Linked DNA regions of Macaca mulatta. The main gene of each other region encodes a partner of the protein of the gene in region 4 in a complex. Links are inferred from orthologs where the notes say so. Each region holds a gene or a part of one and is shown on either strand. Other genes may lie near its edges. The genes, in order: CCK, guanine nucleotide-binding protein G(s) subunit alpha isoforms XLas, GNAI1 and CCKAR.

Evidence for each region.
Region 1: the proteins of CCKAR (region 4) and CCK are in contact, whole or in part, in a cryo-EM structure (PDB 7MBX), measured with the Homo sapiens proteins. The link is inferred for Macaca mulatta from reciprocal best matches to the Homo sapiens genes CCKAR and CCK. Residues at the interface, in NP_000721.1 of Homo sapiens: Cys94, Phe97, Asn98, Pro101, Asn102, Lys105, Asp106, Phe107, Thr118, Met121, Gly122, Val125, Tyr176, Phe185, Asn194, Met195, Cys196, Arg197, Phe198, His210, Leu213, Leu217, Ile329, Phe330, Ala332, Asn333, Arg336, Ala343, Glu344, Leu347; in NP_000720.1 of Homo sapiens: Asp96, Tyr97, Met98, Gly99, Trp100, Met101, Asp102, Phe103.
Region 2: the proteins of CCKAR (region 4) and guanine nucleotide-binding protein G(s) subunit alpha isoforms XLas are in contact, whole or in part, in a cryo-EM structure (PDB 7XOV), measured with the Homo sapiens proteins. The link is inferred for Macaca mulatta from reciprocal best matches to the Homo sapiens genes CCKAR and GNAS. Residues at the interface, in NP_000721.1 of Homo sapiens: Thr76, Glu138, Arg139, Ala142, Ile143, Cys144, Pro146, Leu147, Gln148, Ser149, Arg150, Val151, Gln153, Thr154, Lys155, Glu235, Leu236, Ser301, Ala303, Asn304, Ala307, Lys308, Arg310, Val311, Met314, Phe372, Met373, Asn374, Lys375, Arg376; in NP_000507.1 of Homo sapiens: Gln31, Gln35, Arg38, Ala39, His41, Asp215, Val217, Phe219, Asp354, Gly355, Tyr358, Phe376, Cys379, Arg380, Ile383, Gln384, Arg385, His387, Leu388, Gln390, Tyr391, Glu392, Leu393, Leu394.
Region 3: the proteins of CCKAR (region 4) and GNAI1 are in contact, whole or in part, in a cryo-EM structure (PDB 7EZH), measured with the Homo sapiens proteins. The link is inferred for Macaca mulatta from reciprocal best matches to the Homo sapiens genes CCKAR and GNAI1. Residues at the interface, in NP_000721.1 of Homo sapiens: Thr74, Thr76, Arg139, Ala142, Ile143, Pro146, Leu147, Ser149, Arg150, Val151, Ser156, Ser298, Asn299, Ser300, Ser301, Asn304, Ala307, Lys308, Val311, Leu315, Met373, Asn374, Lys375, Arg376; in NP_002060.4 of Homo sapiens: Glu28, Ala31, Arg32, Glu33, Val34, Leu194, Thr219, Lys314, Glu318, Ile319, Tyr320, Phe336, Thr340, Ile343, Ile344, Asn347, Leu348, Lys349, Asp350, Cys351, Gly352, Leu353, Phe354.

The regions. Positions count from the first base shown.
Region 1 is NC_133407.1:105,592,241-105,596,573, forward strand, and holds the start of CCK (cholecystokinin), read right to left. Parts: upstream 2,809-4,333; 5' UTR 2,742-2,808; intron 1,702-2,741; 5' UTR 1,700-1,701; coding exon 1,486-1,699; intron 1-1,485. UniProt on the Homo sapiens protein: This peptide hormone induces gall bladder contraction and the release of pancreatic enzymes in the gut. Its function in the brain is not clear.
Region 2 is NC_133415.1:111,642,705-111,646,706, reverse strand, and holds the start of guanine nucleotide-binding protein G(s) subunit alpha isoforms XLas, read right to left. Parts: upstream 2,810-4,002; 5' UTR 2,795-2,809; coding exon 664-2,794; intron 1-663. UniProt on the Homo sapiens protein: Guanine nucleotide-binding proteins (G proteins) function as transducers in numerous signaling pathways controlled by G protein-coupled receptors (GPCRs).
Region 3 is NC_133408.1:139,273,863-139,277,419, forward strand, and holds part of GNAI1 (guanine nucleotide-binding protein G(i) subunit alpha-1), read right to left. Parts: intron 3,206-3,557; coding exon 3,076-3,205; intron 1,430-3,075; coding exon 1,276-1,429; intron 1-1,275. UniProt on the Homo sapiens protein: Guanine nucleotide-binding proteins (G proteins) function as transducers downstream of G protein-coupled receptors (GPCRs) in numerous signaling cascades.
Region 4 is NC_133410.1:25,525,765-25,530,098, forward strand, and holds the start of CCKAR (cholecystokinin receptor type A), read right to left. Parts: upstream 2,844-4,334; 5' UTR 2,618-2,843; coding exon 2,506-2,617; intron 1,834-2,505; coding exon 1,582-1,833; intron 1-1,581. UniProt on the Homo sapiens protein: Receptor for cholecystokinin. Mediates pancreatic growth and enzyme secretion, smooth muscle contraction of the gall bladder and stomach. Has a 1000-fold higher affinity for CCK rather than for gastrin.

The DNA.
Region 1 (4,333 bases), on a different chromosome or scaffold from region 4:
CAGACACTAAATTATTTTCAGGCAGAAAATCAGCAGGAACTCAAAAGCTTTCAGACTTTCTCTCTCCATGTGATAAGTATTTCTATCTTCTTCAATTTAATTAGTAGGAAAGCAAAACAGAAGGTAGTGGGTGGGGCAATTTCCCAAAGACAGGAAGAAATACAACAAATCACTGATTTGTTCTTTCCTTCTGAAGCCTCTGGGTCAAAGAGTTCCAGTCTTCCCTTCATGTGAGCCCACAGGAGAACTCTGCAGAGCCAAAGCTCTTCATCTTATCCCTTTCTGGTCAAGCCAGGGGTTAAGGTTCAAATCCAGGCCCTGGAACACCTGTTGGGTAAGAGTGCAATGGTGCAATCTCGGCTCACTGCAACCTCCACCTCCCAGGTTCAAGCTACTCTCCCGCCTCAGCCTCCCATGTAGCTGGGATTGCAAACATGTGCCATCATAACCAGCTAATTTTGTATTTTTAGTAGAGATGGGGTTTCATCATGTTGATCAGGCTGGTCTCGAACTCCTGACCTCATGTGATCCACCTGCCTCGGCCTCCCAAAGTGCTGGGATTACAAGCGTGAGCCACTGCTCCTGGCCTGCTGAATTATTTTAATGTCCAGCTGTGTTTGTACTGTTCAGCACACTCCTCCACAGCCAGTGTTCATTATTAGTGCCACTGGGGATAAAGTTGGCAGAAAAAAGCTGCCGCAATCCAAAGCATGATTCCTATGGGTCACAAGAGATGAATGGGCCTCCCTCTGAATCACACAAAGAATTGGAAGGAGCTTAGGGGAAAGCTAGCCTCAGGTCAGGACTGCCTGCATGCCACTCAGCTAGTGAGGGGCTGAATCACCTTATTCCTGGAGAAAGACTTTGATGCTGAGAAAAATGACTTGCTCAGCTCTTGCTATAACTGTGACCATCTCTGCGACAGTAAAGTAAAAACAAATACCTCTCTTGTTGGGTAATCATGTGTAAGTCATTGCAAGGAGAACACAAAACTGCTGCTGATTCTTTCCTTCTGTTACATGGTTTGGTGGAGATGGACACATTGTCACTGCTTTCTTAAACTGTTGTAGCCAGATCTCAGGCATTCTCAGCATTGACGCCTTCCTGCTAGAGGATTTCCAAGGGTTGGTATCTGGGTGGCTCCCAGGTTCTTTGCGTTTTTAGTAGAGGGTATTTAGTGTATCTAGGAACCCTTTCCTAGGGTTCAATAATTATCTTTTAATGGCTTGGTAAAATGGTGTTGAACTTAATCAGCAACATTGCTAAAAATTAGTTCAAAGAAAGCTTTTCAAGAAGGGTCCCCTTACTTATAAATTAAGTCCTCCATACCCCTTCTCAGATTGCTACAAAGGACGGCCAGAAACCATGTTGCTTGTTTCCTACCGAGAGAGGTCATCTTCATTAGGCCGGCGCTAGAGAAGAGGGTCAGCATCCAGAGCCTGGGAACAAGGGCAGAAGTGAGGGATGGGGAGGCAGCATTCTTACCTTTCCTGGCCTGCTGGATGTATCTTGCCAGCAGCGCGCCCAGGTGCGCTCGGGACTCCCCGTCCGTTCTCTGCACTGCCCTCAGCTGCCTACGGGGCGCCTCCTCTGCCCGCTGCAGCCCGGAGCCCGCGGGCTCTGCGGGAGGCACCGGCTGCGTCAGGGCGCCAGCCGCCAGTACCGCCATCAGTATGCACAGGCGCACGCCGCTGTTCATGGCTGTAGGGAGCAAAGGAGGAGGGGGCGTTAACGGAAAGGCTGGGCATCCGAGAGCTCCTGCGGCGGGCAGGGCACCCAGAAACCGGCTTAGGACAAACACAGGTGCTCCAGACTCCCCAGGCCGCCACAAGCACGAGGGCTCAAGCCGAGTGCCATGGCGCGCGCCCCCGGGCGCACACGGCTGGTCTTTGGGAACTCCACACCCAGTGCCGAGGGGCAGACAGAGACCCTGTTTTTTGCCGTGTTGAGCAGAAGTAATGTTTTCTGCTTCCCTAAAGTTTGAGGAAGTGTTTGCAGAGTGCCTCTCTTCTAACTGAAAGAAGAAAAATAAAACCCCACGAGATTAAAAATAGTGTGAAAAAAATATCCTAAAGGGAAGACTCCGTGGGAGAAATGAGAACCCTAGGGAAAGCACCTTTCCAGATAGCTAACAAGCTTTCAATATGGAAATACAGTAAATGACGAAAAAGAGAAGCACAGTTTAAAATGTAGGAGCAATAAATAAAGCCGTATTTATAAAGTTTTCTCAAAGTGTAGGTGGGAAATGGCAATAAGCCACTACGCAAAACATAGGCAGGTTTTAAAATCAGAAATATGTGCCCAGCACTCAGGCTTCCAAAGCCCCGTGCATTTTAGATCGCTAGTGGATAAAACACCCTCACATTTCTATCCGTAAAGCCTCGAAATTTTCTGCAGTATTTAGAAAATGAATTTGAATCTTAAAACCCTCTGGTATTTTATTAGAAAATATTGCAACGTCCCCAGCACCGCTGTGTAACAGCTAGCAAATCTCAATCTGCATGCGAATCTTAGCGAATGGGTATGCCGGCGCGTGAAAGCCTCTAAAGCAGCTCTACCTACCCAGACCTCACTTTTAGACCCGGAACCGTTGTTTCTGACTTCAAGAAATGTCTTTCGAGCTCTCGGAGGAAAGACACAGAAAATAGAAAAGCAAAATGGAAATGGGCACAAAGCTGACGACAGCATTCTTCAAAGACACACGACACTTGGATCCCCCGCTGACGAACCGAGGGACCTACCTTTTGGATTAGAACGCAGCTGGCTTGGCGTTTCCAACCGGAGCAGCCCGGCAGCTGAGCCAAGTTCAGGGAGGACCAGAGGGCGGCTGCCTCTTAAATAGCCCCGCCCGGCGGCGTCGCCCAGTCATGTATTTACCCAGCGCTGACGCAGACTGGCAGCAACACGTGCTCAGAGGGTGGCCACTGGGACGACAACCGGTTGAAGTGGCTCCTGGGGGAGAGGGGGAGGTGGTCCAGTGGGGCGGATTTAACCCCTCCCTGGCTGGGCCCGGTGTCTGCCCCCCTCTGGGTCCGAGAAGCTTCCTTCCAACCCTTTCCAGCTGCCGCTCCCCTGAGCATTCCAGAGCAGTGCTCTCCAAGGTGGGAAACCTAGGAGTTTGGAGTCTTCCCTGGGATGGAAAAGCTGCCGCTAGCTTAGTTCGCTTTGGGGACCGGAGGGTCCAGAAAGGAAACTGGGGCGGGGGTTGGGGGTGGACACTGGGCGGGACTGAGCGTCAGTAAGGCGCGATTCTGAGAGGGATGGGGCGTGGGCCCCCCTACCCCGGAGCGTCCGAGGCGCTGGTCTTCATACTTGTGTGGGCTCTTTCGAAGGAGAGAGGAGTCGGGGTCTTTACTTTCTTCTCAGCCGCATTAAAAGCCCTCGCAGTTCTCCAGGTTTCTGAGAGCTAGTGTTCCGGGTCAGTGAAAGGGCTCCGGCCACAGCTGGCTGTTGGTGTTCTGGGCCTTTCTTTACGCAGCTGTAAAATGGGGATGACACCATCTGGCTTTGCTCAGAGGAATCCGGCTTGGGAAAGCGATGTGTTTCCTTCCCTGGCCAACTTACAGCCACCCGCTGCGCTCACTGTTCCCAGCTGCCGACAAGCGGCGCCAGCGAGGGTCCTGGGGAACTTGCACACCGCACCCCTGCAAGCTTGGGTAGACCACGGCATTCGCCCCTCCCACCTTTCCGGAGGGCCCACACACTCACACCCCTAGGACCGTACCTGCCAGAACTCAGCTGCGCAGCCTGGAGATGAGGACCTCGCCCGTCGTCACTCACCCGTCCGGTGGAGGGAAGGGAGGCACCAAGGCTGCAGTGCGCCTTTCCCTGCGCGCGGTTACTCTCCTGGCTCCGGAGCGGGCCGACCCGTAGTCCCTCAGTGCGCGGTGGTCGTCTACACCCTGAAGCCCTTTGAGTTCGAATCGGCTTGCTGGTGCTTGAGTTCGCGACGTCCCCGCAAAGGCACTGCGAACCCCATTTCACAGACCGCAAACCGAGGATCGAGGAAGAGCAGCGCTTGCCAAGGCTCCACAATGCGCCCCTCGCCCTCTCCGTGCACCCAGGCAGCCCAGCCTGGGACCTGGAGATCACCAGGCATCCCTGAACCTTGGGACCTCAACTCCTCTCCCTTTCTTTCCCTCATTCGTCTTAGAGGGAAGGAGAAAGATTTAGAAGCGCTTATTTTAAAATCGGAATCCGTATTCCGCTCTGGAATTCCCTCTGGAATGGAGGGACTGTGGCGATGACAGTGTGGGGGTCGAGTGGGTGAGGCGGGGGTAGGGAAGGTGGGGCGGGGGGCGGCCCGGAGACACCTCCGGTTGCTGCTCCACCT
Region 2 (4,002 bases), on a different chromosome or scaffold from region 4:
GGCTCACCGCAGAGCGCCCGGGCGCAGGTACCACCAGAGTGTGCGAACACTGAAAGTTTTTTGCCCGCGCCATGACGCAAACCACAAGACAGCCCGTTCCCAAGTACAAGTACACAGTCGCCGGGTAATTTGGGGGTGCCGGGATAGGAACGGGAGACACTTTAGCGTATCATGCACAGGCGAACACAGAATATGGACACCAACACACACCAACGACAAGCTGTCTGAGTCCAAGCAGCCGTGCCAGGCGAGGCGGGGGCGCGCCTTTCCCAAAGACCCTAGCCCACCATGGACCCCACCAGCCTAGCCAGGGGAGCCCCGGGGCCCTCCCCGGCAGTTCCTGGCTCACCTGAAAGCCCCTGCCTGTCCAGCTTACGGTTGCTGGCGCTGGCCTGTCCAGCCGGAAACGACCCTCAGTGTCGCTCGGCATCACTTTTCTCCCTGGAGGGCATATACTTCGGCCACCCGAATCCACCCAAGATCCCCTCCCGCTCCCAGGGCATAGTTAGGGTCCCTCCCTGGAACTTTCTAGCAAGCTCTTCCCGCCTTTGGCTGGATCCCCTCCTCCCACTGTCGAGCCCCGAGCCCCAGCAGGCAGCCCTGCCACCCCCTACCCAGTTCCCCGGCGGCCCTGCTGCCCGCAGGCAGAGTCCGCCGCATTACCTAGAAGCAGCAGGCGGTGCGTACACATGTAGCCCATCTTTTCGTCCTGGAGTTGTTTGTCGATGAGCTTGCTGCGTTTCTTCTCTGCGCGCTTCTGGGCCCGCTTCTCCAGGGCTTCTTTGCGCATCTGTCTGCGCTTCTCCACCAGGGGTACCTTCTTGACCTTGGAGGAGTGCGAGGCTTTGGGCTGGGGACTCTCAGATCGACCGAAGCAGCCCCCGAAGGCTTGCATGAGGAAGTTGCGGAGTAAGTTGCGCTGGGGCTTTCGGCGGCGGCGATTTCGCCGATGCTGAAACCAGCGGATGCATCCGAAGGTCCCATCGTCGGACTCGTCTCCGCTGGAGTCATCGTCGCTGCTGGCCGCCCCTTCATCGTAGTACACGCGGCGGCCGCAGCTGCGCTCGGACTTGCCCCGCCAGGCAGACGCGCGAGCAGGCCGCGGAGTAGGCGGATCGGCAGCCTGGATCTCGGGGCTGGGGGGTCTAAGGTGATGGAGCTTGCGTCTGGCCCCGGAGGCAGGGGCTGCCGAGGCCGCCCGGGCGGCTTGGGCTGCCCGGGTGGCAGAAGCGGCTGGGGCAGTGGGAGCCCCGGCGTCAGGCGCAGCTGGGGCGACATGGGCTGCCCGGGTCTCAGCAGCCGCAGGGGCCGCGGGAACCTCAGGGGCTGCCCCGGCATCTGGATCGGCTGGGGCGTCAGGGGCTGCCCCGGCATCTGGAACCGCTGGGGCGTCAGGGGCCGCCCCGGAGTCGGGATCGGCCGGGGCGTCAGGGGCCGCCCCGGAGTCGGGATCGGCCGGGGCGTCAGGGGCCGCCCCGGAGTCGGGATCGGCCGGGGCGTCAGGGGCCGCCCCGGAGTCGGGATCGGCCGGGGCGGCAGGGGCTGCCCCGGAGTCGGGATCTTCTGGGGCTGCCCCGGAGTCGGGATCCGCTGGGGCTGCACGGGCTGCCCCGGTGGCGGTATCCGTTGAAGCTGCCCCGGCGGCAGGGGATCCGTACCCCGGAGAGGGGACTTTTCCTCCCTCCGCGGCATCAGCGGCTGTGCTTCCTTCCATCTCTGCTGCTTCCTCCTCAACTGGGGGTCTCTCTGCTCGCTCTCTCTTATCTGGGGCTCCGGAGACCTCGATGGGCGGGCCGTCAAGCGCGATTGGGGGGCTGTCCATGTTGACGGGAGCGTCGTCGACCCCAGCGGGGGCGCTGCCAATCTCGAGCGGGGGTCCGGAGATCTCCATCGGGGGGCCGCTGCCCGTGAAGTTAGGAGGAGGTCTGACAGCCTCTCGGGATGGGCTGCCGATGGCGCCTGGGACCCAGAGGGGAGGCGCGTTCGCGGCGGGAGTGAGGCGGACCGCACTCGAGGCCGCGACTGCCGCGAACTGGCCACCGCGGTCAACTTGTGCGATAACTCGGGAAAGCCCCGGGGGTGGGCTGTCGTCCCCAGATCCTTCTCCATCAAGCTCAAATGGCATAGTCTCCTCAGGGGGAGGGCTGTAGCCTCCTCTGGAGCCAGTCTTTGGAGGCCTGAGGGCTTGGGGCTCCTCGGGAGGAGCTCCGGGGACCCCTGCAGCACCTGGGCCTCCTGGAGCAAGGTCTGGGACCTGTAAGAGAGGTTGACTGCAGCCTGTCTTGGCAGGCTGGTCAAACTCAAAGGGCATAGCTTCTTCTGGTGGAGGGCTGTATCCTCCCAGGCCTGGTCTGGCACCACTGAAGGCTCCAGGTTCCATGAATGCTGGGCCGAAGGCCTCAAGGCCTGCATGGGCCCCACTGGGGGATCCAGGCTGCTCCAGTGTAGGCCAGAAGCCTCCCAAGCTGGGCTGTTCGACCTCGAAGGGCATTGCTTCCTCAGGAGGTGGGCTGTAGCTTCCATGGGCTCCAGCTTCCCTGAATGCCTGGTTGAGGACCTGAAAGTTGGGCCTGGAGACCTCTGGGGGTCCACAGGCCTCGCTGTCATTCTTGATGGGGATGGGCTCGTTGTGAGGCGGTTCGGTCTCCATCTCTTCGGCTGGGCTAGGCCCAGCACCGGGGGCAGCTGCCCCTGGGGCCTCCAAAGATGGTTGATCGGGCTGTTCCCCGATTTCAGGGGGGATATCGCGTTGTCCTGACATATTATTGCCGTCGAGGCAGTTGCGCACGCCCATAACAGGGTGGCGGCCTCTCAAAATAAGTTTGGGGCTCCGTAAGACGGAGCACCCAACCGAACTAGGGTGAAAAAATTATTATTATTATTTTTAAATCAAAGTACCAGCTGGAAAGTTCACCAGCCTCACTTTCCAACCCTTGTGAGGTTGGGGGGCTTCAAGGCCTGGAACCCTAGACTGAGGCTGAAGCAACTCAATTGTTGCTGGTGGAGTCTTGGCTCCTTTCTGGCCACTTTTTATCCCCTCAGTATGCCCCCCAGCCCCTCTTCCTTGGTCTGTCCTTATGCCCTCCTCTCTCTTTCTTTCTCCTCCAGGCCAGTCCCGCCTGCTTGGATCTGACGAGCGTGCCGATTCGGTCCGAAAATCGCCAGTAGCGCTCTCTCGCTGCCACCAGAGGACGCCGGTTCCAGTGCCGAGCTGGCTCCAGCTCCAGAATCCTGCTCCTCGCGCCGCGGCCCGGGACTTTGGGTAAGGGGGCTGACGAGCGCAGGCCTCGCAGGGACGTTTTGGCTCCTTCCACTCCTCTCCCTGACTGATTTGGAATCTTTCTCCTCGCTTCTCCCCTGGCCAGAGAAAGCTCTCCTGCGTTGCGGGACACGTGACGCAAGACGTGGGCCTCGGGACGCTGGAGTACAGGAGCTGAAACCCTCCCTCCCCAACCCAACCGACTCCTCGGGGGAGGGGGGACTGAAGAAGGGTTTCATCACCCCAGGATACCCCTGAAACACTGAGTCATAGCCCCCAGCCTCCAGGCAGCTCCGGATCTCAAGCCCCTAGTCCAGAGCGCAAGGCTTTTGGTGCCTGAGAAGGGGCACAGGCATGCGTGGGGATGCGACAGGTGGTCGTGAGCCCACCAGAGAAGCAGAGAGAGACGAGGGAGAGGGGATGCCGAGTATGCGAGCACACAATTTGTTTTTTAAATGCCTTGGGTGTACTTTTTACTGCTTTTGTTTGTTGCTTGCTGAGGTTGGCTCCGGTAAAGCACTTTAACAGCCCCCACCCTCATCACACTCTAGGGGTCTCCGCAGTGGCCCACGCAGCGCAAGCAGGGTGCTCCCTTGTTTATGTGGATGGTGACGCAGGGGAATAAGAAGGTCTCGGGTGCGTACCACCAAGAGCAAAGCCCCCTAGGCAGTAGCTGCGGTGGCACCGATGGAGGGGTGGGGGGTGTGCTGCGCAGAGGGGGACCCCACAAAGCGGCCGCAGAG
Region 3 (3,557 bases), on a different chromosome or scaffold from region 4:
TAACATGATTATATTTACCAAAGAACCCTCCCCTTTTGGTTTCAGTGAATGTTTAATTAAATGTAGCCTAGCCATGAATGGTCGAGGAGCAGGAGGACAATGGATTTGGGTCTGGAACTGCACTCTGGCTTCACTAAGCCTCGCTATTCTCATTTGTATGGGTAGGGATACCCGAGCACTGACATCACAGGGTTGTCTTAACATTTCCTGTAAAATGGCAGTGAATACTCATCGTACAATTGACTCAATACAAGACTCAGGAAAACGTTGTTTATAAAAAAACAAATCCTTGAGACTTTTTTAAAAAAAACAGGAAGAGTGGAGTGACGGTAAATAACTAAACTCTTCAAAGTAGATTTGGAGATTACATACACCAGTGGTAGTCAAACTCCTGTTTTTTAAGGCATATTGAATGCTCTTCACTAAAATAAAACCTTACTTGATATGGAAACCAGATGAAAGCTGAGTTCCTCTGCTTTAATGAAAAAGTTATAAGGTGGCGGGTGCGGGGGGCAGTAATTAGTTCTGTTCCCTCTCCCATCTCCACCTTCAACAGCAACCCAGGAGGTGCTCCAAGGAACTAAACTAAACCAAAACTAATGTTTTAGCCCAACTCCTGACTTCACAGATGGAATACTGAGACCTAGGTGAACTAACTGCCTTGCTCAAGATCAAAGAGCTAATTATGGAAAAGTCAGGACTGTACTTCAGGTCTACTTTTCTCACTCCATGGAATTTTCCACTGTAGTAAAATTAAAGCACTATTAACAGTCTCATTACCAAAGCTTAGGCTTCTTGCGAAACCTTCCCTGCCCTTCTGGAAGAGTTAGCCGCTTCAATGATCCCATCTTCATTTTCCCCCTTACAATAATGTTCATGTTCCTTTTTAGCAGTAGGATGCACTGCTATTGCTTGTTGTTTAAGTATGTCTGTCTTTGAGATTAGATGGTGGGCAGAGACATGTCTTATTTATTGTACATCACACAGTACTGATATGAAATCTGTTAACTTGGTTTAAAAACAGTATTTTAACTTGGAGTCATCACTAAACATTATCTAACAGCTTTTCCATAAAATGAATACATTATTTTCAGTAATTTCCTCCACATCTTAAGGAAATTTCTGTGCTCAACTGCAGTTTGATAAATAATATCCCTTAAAGGTCTAAGAATCACTAAGCCAAGAGATTTAAATTAACAACTGAATTCTTGCCTTAGGGAAAGTTTCAATTAGAAATATGTAACTTGACAAGTGATTCCCAGAAAAGTAAAATACCTGCATATTCTGGATAGCATATAGTGAGAGGGCTCTTCTTGATTTTTTCTTCAAAGAGATCCTTCTTGTTGAGAAAAAGTATAATGGATGTATCTGTAAACCACTTGTTGTTACATATGCTGTCAAACAACTTCATGCTTTCATGCATTCGATTCTATAACAGAAAAAAAGAAAACCAATGGTCACTAACAGCAAGGACTTTTAAGGAGTATTTTAAAAAATAATAGGTGTTGTAATAAAACAGAGTTTAGTCATTGAAAAATACATAACATATCACAAAAATACATTTCTGTCATTTCAGAACACACTTTCACTTTAGGTGAGAGAAGTGTCTAACCATCTTTCATCACTTTCTGCATCCAACTTTTACTTGCTAAGTGCCCACTATATGTCATGCTCTATGCCAGAGAACATCCTGCTACAGGACAGTATAATCTAGGATGTGAAATGTGAACTTGTGAAAAGAAATGACATCGTCATAGAGCTTATTTCATCTAAGTTTCCATTAAAAGATAAACAGAGGTTTTTAAAGATTAATAAAATTGAATTGAACAAGCTAAGACCCAATTAGCCCATTACTCTAAATATTACAATAAATATAAATACTGGAAGAACACTTCCAATTCCTGTTTCTGGAACTTCTAGGATCTGTGCTCATCAAAGAGGGCACTGATACATTTTGTAGTGCTGAAATAAGAGAAATGAACATGTGGTGTTGCATTGCACTATAATTTCATAGACTTGATTTTAAAGATATAATCGTCTCTCGGTATATTCAGAGGGATTAGTACAAAGACCCCCAAAGGTACCAAAATCTGCATATACTCAAGTCCAGCAGGCGGTTCTGTGGAACCCACGTACAGGAAAAGTTGACTTTCTGCATACTCAGGTTTTGCATCCCATGAATGTGCTTGGTTGAAAAAAATTCTCATATATGTGGACCCATGCAGCTTAAACCCCTGTTGTTCAAGGGTCAACTGTACAAAAGACATTTCTACTCCTTTTTCCCCACTTCGTAATAAAGTTAACTTAAAGTTTTACATTTCTATTTAAAAATACTTCCCCCATATTAATGGTACATTGAAACCTATCTGAAAATTACAGGGCAGCAACAAAGTATAACATATATTAAAGATTTACTGGCTGGGTGTGGTGGCTCAGGCCTGTAATCCCAGCACTTTGGGAGGCTGAGGTGGGTGGATCACCAGAGGTCAGGAGTTTGCGACCAGCCTGGCCAATGTGGCGAAACCCCATCTCTACTAAAAATACAAAAACCAGCTGGGTGTGGTGGCACGTGCCGGTAATTCCAACTACTTAGGAGGCTGGGGCAGGAGAACTGGCTTCAAACCGGGAGGTGGAGGTTGCAGTGAGCCAAGATCGTGCCACTGCACTCCATCCTGGCAACACAGCAAGACTCCATCTCAAAAAAAAAAAAAAAAAAAAAAAAAAAAAAGGATTTACTAAACTAATAGAAGTAACAAATTAAGAAAAGGGATCTTGAACTACTATGTAAATATATTTCCATGTGCTATGTTGATATCAGATACAGAAATGCATAGTTAAGCTTACAGGCTTGAGGTGAGATTGACTCTCCATACTTTCCTTTTCCTCAAGATCCACCTGTGCTTCTCTAGTATATTTCTCTTGTATTAGGCAAATAGAAAAGTTAGAGGAAAGACCCTGTACTTTCAAATTGTTATAGACATTAGAAAGAATTTAAGAATTTTTCTCAGAAAAATTCTTGGCAACACCTTCAGCTCTTCATGTTTCAAGCTCAACTCTTAAAGTAGTTCTACTTGCCATTTCTTCATCTTCAGCTAGAACCAGATCGTAGTCACTCAGTGCTACACAGAAGATGATCGCCGTCACTCCTTCGAAGCAATGAATCCACTTCTTCCGCTCAGATCTCTGACCTCCCACATCAAACATTCTGTTAAGAGGAGAAATGAGTTAACATCATATTAAACGTTCAAGAAGTTCTGAGAAGTTCTTTAACAAAAAAAGCTCTGAATAGTTGTGGAAATGTGTGATGAAAAGGAAGGAGAGAAGGACTTTATGGGAGGAAAACAATGTCACAAACTGGACTTCTCAAAAGGGGAAAAAATCTGCTAGTTTTTAAAAGTTTTGATTGAAGGGAGGGTATCTCTAAAACAAAAGCAAAAACAAAAGTACCCTCAAAAGACAAGACGTTAACACATGGAAGAACACTTAGAACATTAAAGCAAACAAATGAATGGACTGCACTGTGTGTAAACACTGAGAAGTCACATGAAGCAACTGGG
Region 4 (4,334 bases):
AGAATGATGTTTCTTTTCTTTTGGCCAATAAAATTGTTTTTATGCTGTTGAAATTTGCATAACATAAAATTAAACATTTCAAACTGAACAACTTTGTGGCACTCAGAATGTTTTGCCACCATGAAAACACTCGTTTTAAACCTCGGTTCACATTTTCCGGTTAAGGTTCCCAAATAGTATTACCATAAGATATATATGGATGGGCCTTGGATGTCTACAGCACTAGTTATTATTATTGCTTCATTATTTAACAATGATCTTTGTCCTTTGTAAGTTTCGTCCTTTTTTTTTTTTTCAGAGGACTTGGACACGGATTGACACATTCTTGGTTTTTGGTGGCACGAGGGTCAGAAATTCATCATCATTTTGTCAGTGCGGAATCCCACTTCCCCAACTGGGAAAAACAAAGACTTTTAAAGCCTTCCGGTCATTGAAGACTACCCTAGCCCAGCTCACTGCTGCATATTCTTCAAGGCTTGGGTCAGAACAAAAATAACTCCCTGCTTATTTCCCACCTCTGCCCCTCTCCCAACTAATTCTCAGAAAGGGCAAGGGACTAGGCAATCTGGCACCCAGAGGGGACCAAGAAATGTGTCTTTGTTCAACTCCAGGAGAACCACAGCAGTTGGCAAACTGAGGTAGCATGCTCACCACTGTGTGGCTACTAATCTGGACTCAAATCTCAGCTCTGTTGCTTACCATCTGTGTGGCTTTAGGCACATTATGAACCTCTCTGTGCCTCTGTTTCCTCCTTAATGAGACAAGGAAGAATCATTGCATTTACTTCATAGAGTGGTTGGGAGGTAAGGTAAGATCATGAAAGTCAAAGCACTTAGTACCACATGGGGTGCATAAAAGCACAAAAAATTTAGCTCTTGTGATTTTCATTATCATCATTTTTGTTTGGCATAGGCAAACAGCTACATATCTCAGCCAATCAGGGTCAGCTTAGCGACCCCACAGCCCCCAGGAGCAAATTCAACTCCTCATCTAGGGGCAGAGACCTCTCTCCCTCTGCCAGAGATGGTCCCAGCTTTGGGGAGAACAGGCTGAGAAGTGAATCCTGGCAAGAGAATCTGGAACTGTGATAGAACTGGTTTTCAAATAGCCCCTGTTCCCTAAGAAAACAAGAGGAACAATGACAAAGAACCCTCCTCCATAATCCTTACCCTCCCTAGAAGCCGGGACTCAAGTTGGGTATAGCTCAGGACACAGTCAACAGCTTCCAGAAAGGGATAGAGCAGCTTAAAGTCACTTTTGACTTCAAACAGAAGGAAGCAAGTCCCTCTTTCCTTCAAATAGAATCAGGCAAAATTAACTGCCCCTGTGTTTTCCTATCAATGTATTTCACTCTTAGAAACTGACCTCCAACGTGGATGATGGGGACCGACTTACGGGGAACGTATAAGGATGACCGTCAAGTCAGCAGCTATGTCCTTGCACACAGCCGTGCACAGCCTAATGTTCTGTGATTCAGCCCTCAGCAGAGGTCTTCTGCTGTGATTGTCAGAGGTTTGGGAAGGTCTGGGGCTGAGTGGGGTCTGGGGCAAGCTCCAGAAAGAGTCACCAGCAGCAACTTACCCATGAAGTAGGTGGTGGTCTTGCAGACGGCGCTCCCGAAGATGAAATCCTTGAGCAGACTGGGGATGAGGTTGAACGGCATGCAGAAGAGGCAGAGCATGAGATCGCTGACAGCCAGGGAGAGGAGGAAGATGTTGGTGACTGTCCGCATCCGCTTGTTCCGAATCAGCACGGTGATGACCAGCGTGTTTCCCAGCACGCTGAGCAGGAATATCAAGGAGTACAAGAGAATCTGCACCGCTGGCTGCCACTCTGCAGACATTAACAGGAGCAAGACGGAGGGATGGAGGTGATGAGAGCAGAATGCTAAAACCGAAGCCAAGGGTGATTTCCTGCCGATTTCCCCCCTCACCGGGGTGTACATCACTGGACCCACCATTCCTGTCCTGACAACATTTTGCAGAAACAAACTGAGGAAAGCAGAGACTGAATTATTTTGTTTGTAGAAGGTTGGTTTGTTAAAGGATCACTCAGGGAACCACTTTTTCTTAAGAACAAAGCTCCTCAAGTGAACAGTGATCACTTTCTTTCCTGGCTGCTAAGCATGATTTCACTGTAACCACTTCACGCTGGTTTCCCCCCAAGAAAAGAAAACGGCTGCATGGTGACAACACCTTTTCTGCTGTGCTTGTAAGTTCAGGCTTTGACACTTGTACTCCCTCTTGCTTCACTCAGCTTTTCCTCCCCTGCTTTTGTTCCCTCAAGTCCTATTCATGAATGCCCAACTCTCCCATGGGGGACAATAAGAATATTTGACTCTATTCTGCTTGTTAATCTCTTCTGCAAACTTCTGAACATATGACTTTATCCAGCCTTGTCTCACAATGACTTGGTTATGTATATTTTTTTATCAGCCTTGCCTTTGCTGATTTCTCCCGCAACTCAGTAGTTTCCTGGATTAAAATAACAGCTTCCGACACTTACCTTTGGAGGGACGAGGCTGATCCAAGCAGAAAAGCGTCTCATTTTCGAGCCCGAGTTCGCAGGGAGGAGTGATGTTGCTTCCATTCACAAGAAGGCTGTCAACCACATCCATCCTTGCCTGCTGCTTTCCACCAAGTGCTGGAGAGCTGGTGAATTGCTCACTCCCTGCTCATTTCTCTAATGACTGAAGCGTCTCCCAAATGCAACCTGCCGTGGAGGAGCAGGGAGGGAGTGATTTCCAGGTGTGGGCTTTTTCAGCCATTCCTAAAGGCGACTTGAGTTCACCACACTCACTCCAGCTGGGCAAGCATTTGCACTCCTGTTGTGGAAAAGGCAGTGAGCGCAAGCGAAGCCCGCTCCACCTTCACCCCCCACCCCCCCGGCCCTTTCCTGGGCCAGTCTTAGGGCCCTGAGCACAGACAGCCTGGTTGCCTGTTAACCATTCTCAGAGTGTGGCTGCTTTTATACACACATGTGTACACACGCACGGACACATACACACACACACAGGCTTCCCCAGTACTCCTCTATATAGGAACCTGTCACCATCCAAGACATGTGCAGAAGAAAGCCCAAACTGGCTGTATGAGACAGGAACAATTAACACGGTAACAGATCCGATAATGCAGACCATCAGGCCTAAAGAACACGGAGGGACTGTGTTCTACCTCCTTATAGAAAAGCAATTAGTGCCTTTTTAGTTCTGGAACCATGCCCGGTGGTGTGTGTCTGTGGATAGAACTGCTGGCTGGTTGTTAAGTTGCTACTAAACACAGTGTTATTTCTCGTGGTCTCTGCCCTTGTTAACTAGAAGGATTGAGGTACTTTTGAACATAGGTACCTGGGTCCTTATTACAAAAGATGTTAGTAAGATTTCCTCGTCATTCATGAAGTCTTGCATTCAGCACATCTTCATTGAGAGTCAATCATTTGCCAGGCACTTTTCTATCATGTCAGCAAATAATGAACAGAATTATTTCAGGTAGTAAGTACTATGAAGGAAGTAAAGCAGGGAGACGTGATGTATACAAACAGATTAGGGACTGATTTTTTGGGGGGCGGGGACAGGGTCTTACTCTGTCCCCCAGGCTGCAGTGGAGTGGTGCGATCATGGCTCACTGCAGCCTTCATCTCCCTGGCTCAAGCAATCCTCCTACCTTAGCCTCCTGAGTAGCTGGGACTACGGGTACACACCACTAAGCCCAGCTGATTTTTTTAGTTTTAGAATAGAGGCGGTCTCGCTATGTTGCCCAGGCTGGTCTCAAGCTCCTGAGCTCAAGCAATCCTCCTGCCTTGGCCTCCAAGTGTTGGGATTACAGTTGTGAGCCACTGCACCTGGCCTGGGGCTGCTAATTTAGAAGGGGTAGTCAGGAGAGGTGTCTCAAGGAGGGGACTGTGATCTGAGACCTGAACCACAAGGAGGACAAAGTCTTGTGAAGATCCGGGGACAGCTTCTCCCAGGCAAAAGGAGGAGTATTTTTAGCAGTGGTAACAGCACGTGCAAAGGCCCTGAGGTGGGAATGAGGGTGGCCCCATTGAGGTATGAATAGATAGAAGCAGGAGTGAGTGAGGGGCAAACAGCAGGACATGAGATCAGAGAGGGGGACCAACTCAGGGGTCTGGGTGTTCCATGAAGCTCTGTGGTGCTGGAAAGCCCTTCGGCCTCCATTGCACCGATTATCTCCTCAGTTCAGACCCTTTGGAAAGCACACGACAATGGCTGTGGAACCTGCGTTTCTGACGTGCTGCTTGGCTGTGCTGAGACTTGGTCTGTTTGCTAGATACCCGTGGGGCTCCTTGTGTACTGACAGTGCTTCCGCTGGCTGCAT